3 linked regions of the Xenopus tropicalis genome follow. The protein of the gene in region 1 interacts with the protein of each later gene in a biochemical or structural test. Links are inferred from orthologs where the notes say so. Each region holds a gene or a part of one and is shown in the gene's direction. Other genes may lie near its edges.

Region 1 (4,179 bases):
TAACTAAGGGCTGCGCGTGAGGGGCCCAGTAACTAAGGGCTGCGCGTGAGGGGCCCAGCAACTAAGGGCTGCGCGTGAGGGGCCCAGCAACTAAGGGCTGCGCGTGAGGGGCCCAGTAACTAAGGGCTGCGCGTGAGGGGCCCAGTAACTAAGGGCTGCGCGTGAGGGGCCCAGTATCTATAAGGGGAGAGAGGGGCCCCAGTATCTATAAGGGGAGAGAGGGGCCCCAGTATCTATAAGGGGGGAGAGGGGCCCCAGTATCTATAAGGGGAGAGGGGCCCCAGTATCTATAAGGGGAGAGAGGGGCCCCAGTATCTATAAGGGGAGAGAGGGGCCCCAGTATCTATAAGGGGGGAGAGGGGCCCCAGTATCTATAAGGGGGGAGAGGAGCGCCAGTATCTATAAGGGGGGAGAGGGGCCCCAGTATCTATAAGGGGGGAGAGGGGCCCCAGTATCTATAAGGGGAGAGAGGGGCCCCAGTATCTATAAGGGGGGAGAGGGGCCCCAGTATCTATAAGGGGAGAGGGGCCCCAGTATCTATAAGGGGAGAGAGGGGCCCCAGTATCTATAAGGGGAGAGAGGGGCCCCAGTATCTATAAGGGGGGAGAGGGGCCCCAGTATCTATAAGGGGAGAGGGGCCCCAGTATCTATAAGGGGAGAGAGGGGCCCCAGTATCTATAAGGGGAGAGAGGGGCCCCAGTATCTATAAGGGGAGAGAGGGGCCCCAGTATCTATAAGGGGAGAGAGGGGCCCCAGTATCTATAAGGGGAGAGAGGGGCCCCAGTATCTATAAGGGGAGAGAGGGGCCCCAGTATCTATAAGGGGAGAGAGGGGCCCCAGTATCTATAAGGGGAGAGAGGGGCCCCAGTATCTATAAGGGGTTACAGCGGACTCACTGGGGAAAGGGAAGTTCAGACGCACTACATTACCCATAATGCTACTACATTACCCATAATGCTACTACATTACCCATAATGCTACTACATTACCCATAATGCTACTACATTACCCATAATGCTCTATGCGCCAGATAGTAAAGGGGAGGAGACCCCAGGGCCCGGACACTTTCCCACAAGCCCCTGCGCTCAGCTGTTCGGACACATCAGGGGGCGGTACCTACTGAGGGAACAGCTGATCTCTAACCTCCCACGTGACTCGGGTTCGCTCTAAATGGACGTAACAGGCCCCGCCTCGCTTTCCCCCTTCCACCCAATCAGGGAAGCGCTGTGTCCGGGCCCCGGGCCAATGGGAGCGAAGCGCGGTGACTCACCATATAAGGAGAGGCTTTTCCATAAAAGGAAACATTGTAACGCTTTATAAGGGAGAAAATAGTCCCTCAGCGCCACTCCGGCTCATGTACCCTTCCGCCCAAACCATATTTAATGGGAATTAGTTCCGGCAAGGGGCGCGCAAGGATCTCATTTACACGCTCTGGCGGTGGGAACCGAGTGTGTGAGTGTGATGCGGCTCGGGATGTGATTGGTTGGAGCAGGGAGAGCGGGGAAGCCACAGCCAGACAGGCCGGTCAGGGAGAGGGAGTGCGGCCCGGGCCGGAACCAACAGTCCGACAGCGAGAGAGTCCGGGGGGGCAGGTATCCGTATTAGCCCCAGGGAGAGAGTCCGGGGGGGCAGGTATCCGTATTAGCCCCAGGGAGAGAGTCCGGGGGGGCAGGTATCCGTATTAGCCCCAGGGAGAGAGTCCGGGGGGGCAGGTATCCGTATTAGCCCCAGGGAGAGAGACGGGGGGGCAGGTATCCGTATTAGCCCCAGGGAGAGAGTCCGGGGGGGCAGGTATCCGTATTAGCCCCAGGGAGAGAGTCCGGGGGGGCAGGTATCCGTATTAGCCCCAGGGAGAGAGTCCGGGGGGGCAGGTATCCGTATTAGCCCCAGGGACAGAGTCCGGGGGGGCAGGTATCCGTATTTGCCCCAGGGAGAGAGTCCGGGGGGGCAGGTATCCGTATTAGCCCCAGGGAGAGAGTCCGGGGGGGCAGGTATCCGTATTAGCCCCAGGGAGAGAGTCCGGGGGGGCAGGTATCCGTATTTGCCCCAGGGAGAGAGTCCGGGGGGGCAGGTATCCGTATTAGCCCCAGGGAGAGAGTCCGGGGAGGGCAGGTATCCGTATTTGCCCCAGGGAGAGAGTCCGGGGGGGCAGGTATCCGTATTAGCCCCAGGGAGAGAGTCCGGGGGGGGCAGGTATCCGTATTAGCCCCAGGGAGAGAGTCCGGGGGGGGCAGGTATCCGTATTAGCCCCAGGGAGAGAGTCCGGGGGGGCAGGTATCCGTATTAGCCCCAGGGAGAGAGTCCGGGGGGGCAGGTATCCGTATTAGCCCCAGGGAGAGAGTCCGGGGGGGGCAGGTATCCGTATTAGCCCCAGGGAGAGAGTCCGGGGGGGCAGGTATCCGTATTAGCCCCAGGGAGAGAGTCCGGGGGGGCAGGTATCCGTATTAGCCCCAGGGAGCAGTGTTTGCTTTGCCCAGGCAAGGGGCACTGAGGAGCTCAGGTGGGGCATTTAAGTTTGTACCCCGGGCAGATTGCTAGTAGGCATTACCCCAGGAGGGTAGGTTAGTTATACCTATTATAGGCGGGTTTTGCCCCAAGGAAGGGCAGATTAGTAGGTTTTATCCCAGGAAGTGGTATAAGAGTGGGGCACCCCCCCATGCCCCCTAGGGATGTTGCCCAGTAGCCAGGCCGGGGTGGTGGGGTCAGGCCGGGGGCTGGGGTTGGCCCGCAGGGCAGGCAATGGGGCTGGTTGCCCAGGGGTTAGGGGCCCCGGGGTCCAATACAGCGGCAGCTCTGGGAGCTCAGACTCGGGGGAAGAGGAGGATCCTCCTGGGCGGGGGTTAAAGCGGGGGCTCAACGAGCTTGAGCTGCCGGAACAAGGGGGTGCAGCCGGCGGTGTGGGGTACCCGGGGGCCAGTGGCACGGTGTCAGGGGCAAAACCTGGCAAGAAAACCCGCGGCCGAGTGAAGATTAAGATGGAATTCATCGATAACAAACTGCGGCGCTACACGACCTTCAGCAAGCGCAAAACTGGCATCATGAAGAAGGTAAGTACCCCGGGGCATCTGGGGCAAAAGTACAAACAGCTAGGGTATATCGGGCATAGGGAACTTAGATTGTTAGCTCACTGGGGCAGGGGCTGATGGGAATGGGATAGGGACCTTAGATTGTTAGCTCACTGGGGCAGGGACTGATGGGAATGGGATAGGGACCTTAGATTGTAAGCTCACTGGGGCAGGGACTGATGGGAATGGGATAGGGACCTTAGATTGTAAGCTCACTGGGGCAGGGACTGATGGGAATGTGATAGGGACCTTAGATTGTAAGCTCACTGGGGCAGGGACTGATGGGAATGGGATAGGGACCTTAGATTGTAAGCTCACTGGGGCAGGGACTGATGGGAATGGGATAGGGACCTTAGATTGTATGCTCACTGGGGCAGGGACTGATGGGAATGTGATAGGGACCTTAGATTGTAAGCTCACTGGGGCAGGGGCTGATGGGAATGGGATAGGGGCCTTAGATTGTAAGCTCACTGGGGCAGGGACTGATGGGAATGGGATAGGGGCCTTAGATTGTAAGCTCACTGGGGCAGGGACTGAGGGAAATGGGATAGGGGCCTTAGATTGTAAGCTCACTGGGGCAGGGACTGAGGGGAATGGGATAGGGACCTTAGATTGTAAGCTCACTGGGGCAGGGACTGATGGGAATGGGATAGGGACCTTAGATTGTAAGCTCACTGGGGCAGGGACTGATGGGAATGTGATAGGGACCTTAGATTGTAAGCTCACTGGGGCAGGGACTGATGGGAATGGGATAGGGACCTTAGATTGTAAGCTCACTGGGGCAGGGACTGATGGGAATGGGATAGGGACCTTAGATTGTATGCTCACTGGGGCAGGGACTGATGGGAATGGGATAGGGACCTTAGATTGTAAGCTCACTGGGGCAGGGGACTGATGGGAATGGGATAGGGACCTTAGATTGTAAGCTCACTGGGGCAGGGACTGATGGGAATGGGATAGGGACCTTAGATTGTATGCTCACTGGGGCAGGGACTGATGGGAATGTGATAGGGACCTTAGATTGTAAGCTCACTGGGGCAGGGGCTGATGGGAATGGGATAGGGGCCTTAGATTGTAAGCTCACTGGGGCAGGGACTGATGGGAATGGGATAGG
Region 2 (4,062 bases), on another chromosome or scaffold:
ATAGGAAGGGGTTCCTTACTGTAAGGGCAGTCAGGTTATGGGGTTCCCTACCCAGAGAGGGGGAATGAGTGATACATTGGGGTGGGGAGGAAAGGGGATCTCACCATCAGCATAGGAAGGGGTTCCTTACTGTAAGGGCAGTCAGGTTATGGGATTCCCTACCAAGAGAGGGGGAATGAGTGATACATTGGGGGTGGGGAGGAAAGGGGATCTCACCATCAGCATAGGAAGGGGTTCCTTACTGTAAGGACAGTCAGGTTATGGGATTCCCTACCCAGAGAGGGGGAATGAGTGATACATTGGGGGTGGGGAGGAAAGGAGATCTCACCATCAGCATAGGAAGGGGTTCCTTACTGTAAGGGCAGTCAGGTTATGGGGTTCCCTACCCAGAGAGGGGGAATGAGTGATACATTGGGGTGGGGAGGAAAGGGGATCTCACCATCAGCATAGGAAGGGGTTCCTTACTGTAAGGGCAGTCAGGTTATGGGGTTCCCTACCCAGAGAGGGGGAATGAGTGATACATTGGGGGTGGGGAGGAAAGGAGATCTCACCATCAGCATAGGAAGGGGTTCCTTACTGTAAGGGCAGTCAGGTTATGGGGTTCCCTACCCAGAGAGGGGGAATGAGTGATACATTGGGGTGGGGAGGAAAGGGGATCTCACCATCAGCATAGGAAGGGGTTCCTTACTGTAAGGGCAGTCAGGTTATGGGGTTCCCTACCCAGAGAGGGGGAATGAGTGATACATTGGGGGTGGGGAGGAAAGGGGATCTCACCATCAGCATAGGAAGGGGTTCCTTACTGTAAGGGCAGTCAGGTTATGGGGTTCCCTACCCAGAGAGGGGGAATGAGTGATACATTGGGGGTGGGGAGGAAAGGGGATCTCACCATCAGCATAGGAAGGGGCTGAATGCCTGGGGGCAGGCATATAGTTCTATTTATGAGCCCACACTGACCCCGGGAGCTATCAGTTTGCAGCACAGGGGGGCTCAGGCATGGGAGGAGTTAATTGCTGTGCGGCTCTGGCAGACAAAGGGTTAAGGGGAGCTGTGCTGTACAGGTTGCTGCTCCAGTCTGTTAGTTGCCATGGCAACAGAGCCTTGAGATGGCAAGTAACGAGGTACAGGCTAAACATTCCCCCATCTGAACCAATCCTTGTTCTAAATGTGGATGCCCCTCCTCCCCTCTGATTATTTGCCCCCCCCCCCCCCCAGACTCTCTGCCCCATGGCTGTGACTCGGGGTAAATACTGATAATCTCCCCACAAAACCTCTGTGAGGGCTGCTGGGAGTTGTAGTTGCACAACGTGCCGGGGGAATGGCTGTAGTTACTCCCTAGTCTGTGTGGGACCCATTAGCCCTATGTGCCCCCCCCCCCCCCATGGGGCTGAATTGCTGCACCCAGTGCTGGGGGGTAGGAGGCTCCTGTGTGTGCCCCTCGGTGGCGCTGTGCCACCCACTCTCCCCGTATGGGTGGCGCCTCCCCCTTCCCCAGGCTCCTCCCCTTCTCCTGACGTGCAGCCAGGATTCTCTCCCTGCCAGTGGAGCAGCGGAGGCAGCAGTGGAGCAGGAGGGAGAGGAGCAGGAGGGCTGCACAGACACAGGGGGGCAACACATGGGGGCCCGGCCCTCTCTTGTCTCCTAGTGCCCTGCCCACCCTCCCTGCCATGCCCAGGGCTGGCACAGTGTCCTTGGGTGCCCTCAGGGGGGCCAGAGCTGCCTGCGGCTGGGAGAGCGTCCCCTGAGAGACAGTCAGGTAACCAGGAGGGGAGGGCGCTCTCGTCGCTCAGGTCTCCAGGTGAGAGGGGGGGGACAATGTGGGGAGGGGGGGCATCTGGGGGGGGTTGTTGTGCTGTGAATTCATTCGCTGCTGTCTCTTGTCCCCCTGTCCCTCCCACTCTGTCGCTCCTCTCTGCCATGGCCGTGTCCGCTTCTCCACAACATCATCTTGTAAACAGCGTGAGTGCGGGGGAGAGCGAGGAGCGGTGGGGGAGAGTGCTGAGCAGTGAGAGAGAGGCCGGGCATGGAACACAATGAGAGAGTCAGGTGAGCACCAATAACTACCCTAGGGCCACTGTCTGTCCCCCCCGCTGCTGCTATTGCCCCCTCATCTCCCCCTGTGTGTCGCCCCCGTCTCCCATTGCCCCACGCCTCTCTCTGCCCAAGTGCCTGACTGTCTCTTTGCTCCCGCAGTCATGGACCCCTCTGGGACCCTCTGGCAGTTCCTCCTGCAGTTGCTGGAAGAGCAGAGCCACCGGCACCTCATCTCCTGGACCTCCAACGACGGGGAATTCAAGCTCCTGGATGCGGAGGAGGTGGCGCGACTGTGGGGGCTGCGAAAGAACAAGACCAACATGAACTACGATAAACTCAGCCGCGCTCTCCGGTATTACTATGACAAGGTGAGCTGCGCTCTCACTTATTAACATCACCAGGTGAGCCGCGCTCTCACTTATTAACATCACCAGGTCAGCTGCGCTCTCACTTATTACTATCACCAGGTGAGCCCCACTCTCACTTATTAACATCACCAGGTGAGCCGCGCTCTCACTTATTAACATCACCAGGTCAGCCGCGCTCTCACTTATTACTATCACCAGGTGAGCCGCGCTCTCACTTATTAACATCACCAGGTCAGCCGCGCTCTCACTTATTACTATCACCAGGTCAGCCGCGCTCTCACTTATTAACATCACCAGGTCAGCCGCGCTCTCACTTATTAACATCACCAGGTGAGCTGCGCTCTCACTTATTAACATCACCAGGTGAGCCCCACTCTCACTTATTAACATCACCAGGTGAGCTGCGCTCTCACTTATTAACATCACCAGGTGAGCTGCGCTCTCACTTATTAACATCACCAGGTGAGCTGCGCTCTCACTTATTAACATCACCAGGTGAGCCGCGCTCTCACTTATTAACATCACCAGGTGAGCCGCGCTCTCACTTATTAACATCACCAGGTGAGCCGCGCTCTCACTTATTAACATCACTAGGTGAGTCTCGCTCTCACTTATTACTATCACCAGGTGAGCCGCACTCTCACTTATTACTATCACCAGGTGAGCCCCACTCTCACTTAATACTATCACCAGGTGAGCCTCACTCGCACTTATTACTATCACCAGGTGAACCCTACTCTCACTTTTTACAGTATGGCCAGGAGAGTACTGGTATGGTTGTGAGGGTAGCAGTATGGCCAGGAGAGTACTAGTATGGCCATGAGGGTAACAGTATGGCCAGGAAAGTACTAGTATGGCTGTAAGAGTAACAGTATGTCCAGGAGAGTACTAGTATGGCTGTGAGGGTAACAGTATGGCTAGGAGAGTACTAGTATGAGAGCGTTGGGCAGTGTGCAAGTACCACAAGAGTATTTGGTACCATGAGAGTATTTGGTACCACAAGAATATTTGATACCATGAGAGTATTTGATACCATGAGAGTAGTGAATGTATTTGGTACCTAAAGAGTATTTGATACCATGAGAATATTTGATACCTTAAGAGTGTTTGATACCATGAGAGTATTTGGTACAATGAGAGTAGTGAGAGTATTTGGTACCATGAGAGTGTTTGGTACCACAAGAGTAGTGAGAGTATTTGGTACCATGAGAGTAGTGACAGTATTTGGTACCACAAGAGTATTTGGTACCGTGAGAGTATGTGGTATCATGAGAGTATTTGGTATGATAAGAGTATTTGGTACCATGAGAGTATTTGGTACCACAAGAGTATTTGGTACCATGAGAGTAGTGAGAGTATTTGGTACCACAAGAGTATTTGGTACCATAAGATTATTTGGTACCGTAAGAGTATTTGGTACCATGAGAGTAGTGAGAGTATTTGGTGCCATTAGAGTATTTGATATTATAAGTGTATTTGGTATTGTAAGAGTATTTGATACCATGAGTATTTGGTACCGTGAGAGTATTTGGTACCATGAGAGTATTTGGTACCACAAGAGTATTTGATACCATGAGAGTATTTGGTACCACAAGAATATACCATAAGAGTATTTGGTACCGTGAGAGTATTTGGTATCATGAGAGTAGTGAATGTTTTTGGT
Region 3 (4,255 bases), on another chromosome or scaffold:
ATTCCTAGATTTCATGGAGTCGCTGGAAGGCATAAAACGCACATATTGGTTATGTATTAAAAGACACTAAGTTGCCAGTTACAGTGCAACATCCAGCCCACTGGCCTCTAGTTGGACAGCCCATGTTGAAATAACAGAATAAACTATTATGGGTACCTTATAGACTTCTTCCTTCCCTCACTGTCATAACTGTAGTATTGCAGAATGAGCAGATCTGGGCCTGATTTGCCCCTGGGTCATTTTGGGCTGATCATTAGCCCTGGGGGCATTGGGACCTATGAAAGCCTGTCAAATGATGACCACACCAAAATGCTGATGCAGTCCACAGTTGATGGAATTTTCAAACCTGCCTGATTGATATCTGGATGATTTTCAGCCAAATATCGGTCAACCAGGCCCCATGCACAGGCTAATAAGCTGCTGACTCAGTTGACAGCTTTAAATGGCCCATGTATGGCCAGCTTTCATTCTTGTAGAACACATGCACAAGACATTGCTCATAAAGTAAACAGAGCGAATTAAAGGACACGTAAACTATGACAAAATAAACTTGCACCTGCATGGGAAATTATTGCACAAGGAAAGAGAGATTAACAAAATTTAAAAGGTAAAATATTCACCCGCCTCTGACATATACTGGTTTTTATACATCACCATATTGTTGTATCAGTTATTGCCTTTATTCTGTATTGTGCGCAAGAATCAGCCTTTTGTCTATTGTATTCTCTGTATCAGATGTACCTAACCACTGCATTCTAAATCAAATATAAATATGATATTCTCAGTGCTCCTTTATCAACCCAGACATTACATATGAATGTATATGGCACTCTTGAATGCAAGGCAGCAATAAACAGAAGGGAAAAATGACACTATAGCATAAATTCAAATGGGCAGTACATCGGGAATATAAAATACTATTTTTGTTTTATTTTTCCTGTATTGGTATCATTATTTTTAGGGCATTATTTTAGAGCATTATTTTTAATGTAATGAGATATACAGAAACACACAATCCAATTAAAAGCATACACACAGATTAATAAGCATATATACATTATATATATATATATATATATATATATACACACATGTATATGTACTCCTATTGTTCTGTCTAAATGAATGTGTTCTATATAAATAAATAATATAACTGTTACATGAACTTGAATACTAAAAAGGTTTTTAAAGGGGAATTTTTCTTTTGTCCTTTTTTTTCCCCTAGCTGAATCCTCCAGGGAGAATCCCTTCTTTTTCAGATGTAAAAAAAAGTTTTGATGTCAGGCAACAGCTAAAAAGTGGATCAGATTTCGTGAATGTTTTCTATATTTATCTGCGTGATTTAATGCTGGGCAGAGGGTTTAAATGGCATCAAACAGTTGGTGTGAAGAGTAGAAGAGCAGTTGCTGTGTAGTTGTCGAAAGGAAACACTTCTAGGCAGCCCTGTATGATGGAGCTTTTTGAAACCAGCCCTTATTTCTTTCCAGACCAAAGGTTTTATGACAATGATAACTATTTCTCTGCGAGGCTCCCTACATATGAGCAAACTGGGTTTCAAGATCGTGGCACTGTGGGGATATGTGCGGATGGGGTTTTATTGCAGGGCTCAGGAATTGAAGACAAGGTTTCTCCCCATCCCACTGTAACCCAACAAGAACATTGCCCTGGCCAATGCTTGCCATGGGCCTGCAAGGTATGCAAGAGGAAGACGGTTTCCATGGACAGAAGGAGGGCTGCTACCTTACGGGAAAAGCGCAGGTTAAAAAAAGTTAACGAGGCATTTGAAGCCCTGAAAAGAAGCACTCTGTTGAACCCTAACCAAAGGCTTCCAAAGGTTGAAATCTTAAGGAGCGCCATCCAGTATATAGAACGCTTGCAGACACTATTGGCTTCCCTTAACCAGCAGGAGAGGGACCAGAGAGATTTATTATTCATCAGTAATGGATCCCAACGGGTGGTAGGTAAAATCTTGTATAGAGTTTATCAATGTGCTTCATCCTGGAATCTTAATTGTTTTACACAGGCATGCCTACACATATACACCTAACAACCTTCTCTGAGCCACACTACACTGAACATAAATCAGCACACTATCTGTTTTAGTGTCATTATTTTCTCTGATTTATGTGCTAGTAATAACCAGGATCTACAATAAGCCAATGTGTCATAAAGCCACTAGGGAAGGGGTTTTTAAGATGAAGGGGGGGGGGTACTTAGCTATTGCTAAGTGAAATTAGGTCAGTTTTTAGATCTATTTAAATGTTTTACTTATTATTATAAGAATTTTCCTGTGTTTAGAATTTCACCATGTATAATTGTATGACAATATACATGGCTTATATTATATAAGCAGAAATAATGCTGTTGATGGAAATGATAAGAGGGCCTACATTGTGTGAAACAGCAGGTATGTCCAGTTATGATATACAATACCTGTTGGGCAAAGAGCTGTACATAACCCTGCTAGAAGCAAAACGTTTGTAAAGTGGAAAAGAAGGTAGGTTTAACCAGGAAAAGATCAAAGTCACAAAAATTGTGACATTTAAGGGCATTGAGGTCATTGTTGTGCTAAGAAATATATATCTTACCTTATCCTCTGCATTTGTGTCATTTGACTCAGTTTTATAGAACTCTCCAGTATAAAAAATAATTAAATTAAATGAAAAATCATTAAATTAAATAAAAAACATTCAAAGAATAATATATAGAGGATAAATATATGGAGCATTAACAATAATAATGAATATATTTAAGTTTAATATCATTGAGAGACAAAGCTCAGATCTTTCATCATCAACTTCTTTGACAAGTTTGAGGATACAAAACCTATAGTATAAGCATATACAATCAAGCTACACTAATCCAGACAAACTGCAATGTACCGACATATCTTCTGACCATATAGAAGGTATTATAAACTTACCGCTGTAGCTGTTGCAGAGCCATAATGTGAAAAGTCATTTCTCCATTGTGTTAATTTTGCAAAGCTACAGAGGCAAAATGATTGTTTTAAATATTATCTAGACAATACAGCAAGTACGATATTAAAGGGGTTAAATTAATACACACTGTTATTGCAGCAGACATATATAGTGATTTTTTTAGTAGGGATTAAGAGAAGGAGCAGAGAATAAAGAGAAATAATATAGTAGAATGCATGTTTTTAGTATGTTTCTTTAATGTATGTCAGTTTCTAGTATACTTGTTATGATTCCTTGTCTAAACCAGTTGTAAGGTCTTTAAATTCAGGGACAGCTGTCTAAATCTGTATATTCCTTTTCTGTGACCTTGATCACTGAATTTCAATAGGGTTTTTGTCTTCAGTAAGACTAGAGTAAAGCAAATGCATGTGCTTAGTTCCACTGTGTGTATATATATATACCACCATGAGATAGTGTAAGGATATATTGATATATTCGACAAAGTATAGAAATATAAGTAGAATTACTTTGTTTCATGGATAATTGGCAGGATTGCATTAAATAAATTCCAGTGTCTTTAGAACTTTCAATTATTGGCAAAATGTTTTCATCTAGGCAAACATGATTTTTTTTATTCTTTAAAAATACATACACACGTATTGTTTTTAAAATCTATGATATATTGATTTGTTGGTGCAATGGTACATATTAGGCAACATATTTCAACTAATCAAAACTGTGCAATTTGGCAATTCATGTGCATGTGCAAATTTCCTACTATCTCATACCTCAGCCAATGGCTGACCAATTAGTGCACACAAAATTGGCCTATGTCTGGCCAGCTTAGCTGTCTCTGTGAGGCAAAAATTATGGCCACAGTTTAAAGTCTAGAAATCATTGCTGTAGAGGAGGCAGCCTGTATAATTGCTATCTTGCACTTGCAACTAACGACCGGAAAGTGAATAAAATGCACTGTAAATAAACAGTAGAATATGGATCTCTCCTATACAGTCTGTATTGGTCGCTAACTCCTTTCAAGCCCTAAAGCCATATATTGGGAAATCTGAACTTTATCTGAGAGTAATAAAGGGCTCAGCTGACTGCATGATCCTAAAGCATTAGAATCATATTGATCCAGATATAATTACTGTCAGTGGCTGAAGAAGCTAACTTTCTCCCACTTTGCTAGATATAGATGTAAGATTGTAAGCCTGGAAAATTCACAATACTGCTAATATTGACTTGAGAGTACATTTATACAATTTATACTTTCACCACACTGAGCTGTGGCTCCCATTAGCTACGTTGCCAGAGCACTGTAAGGCACCCTCAAA

Evidence for each region. The genes of interacting proteins can lie anywhere in the genome.
Region 2: the proteins of srf (region 1) and elk1 form a complex in vitro, tested with the Homo sapiens proteins (2 studies listed by BioGRID). The link is inferred for Xenopus tropicalis from reciprocal best matches to the Homo sapiens genes SRF and ELK1.
Region 3: the proteins of srf (region 1) and myog form a complex in vitro, tested with the Homo sapiens proteins (2 studies listed by BioGRID and IntAct). The link is inferred for Xenopus tropicalis from reciprocal best matches to the Homo sapiens genes SRF and MYOG.

Annotation. Positions count from the first base shown.
Region 1 is NC_030681.2:1,168,575-1,172,753, reverse strand, and holds the start of srf (serum response factor), read left to right. Parts: upstream 1-1,322; 5' UTR 1,323-2,355; exon of another isoform or gene 2,356-2,435; 5' UTR 2,436-2,669; coding exon 2,670-3,047; intron 3,048-4,179. UniProt on the Homo sapiens protein: SRF is a transcription factor that binds to the serum response element (SRE), a short sequence of dyad symmetry located 300 bp to the 5' of the site of transcription initiation of some genes (such as FOS).
Region 2 is NC_030684.2:1,344,565-1,348,626, forward strand, and holds the start of elk1 (ETS domain-containing protein Elk-1), read left to right. Parts: upstream 1-1,221; 5' UTR 1,222-1,359; coding exon 1,360-1,795; intron 1,796-1,809; exon of another isoform or gene 1,810-2,030; coding exon of another isoform or gene 2,031-2,043; intron 2,044-2,190; coding exon 2,191-2,399; intron 2,400-4,062. UniProt on the Homo sapiens protein: Transcription factor that binds to purine-rich DNA sequences. Forms a ternary complex with SRF and the ETS and SRF motifs of the serum response element (SRE) on the promoter region of immediate early genes such as FOS and IER2.
Region 3 is NC_030678.2:54,934,996-54,939,250, forward strand, and holds the start of myog (myogenin), read left to right. Parts: upstream 1-1,414; 5' UTR 1,415-1,450; coding exon 1,451-1,957; intron 1,958-4,255. UniProt on the Homo sapiens protein: Acts as a transcriptional activator that promotes transcription of muscle-specific target genes and plays a role in muscle differentiation, cell cycle exit and muscle atrophy.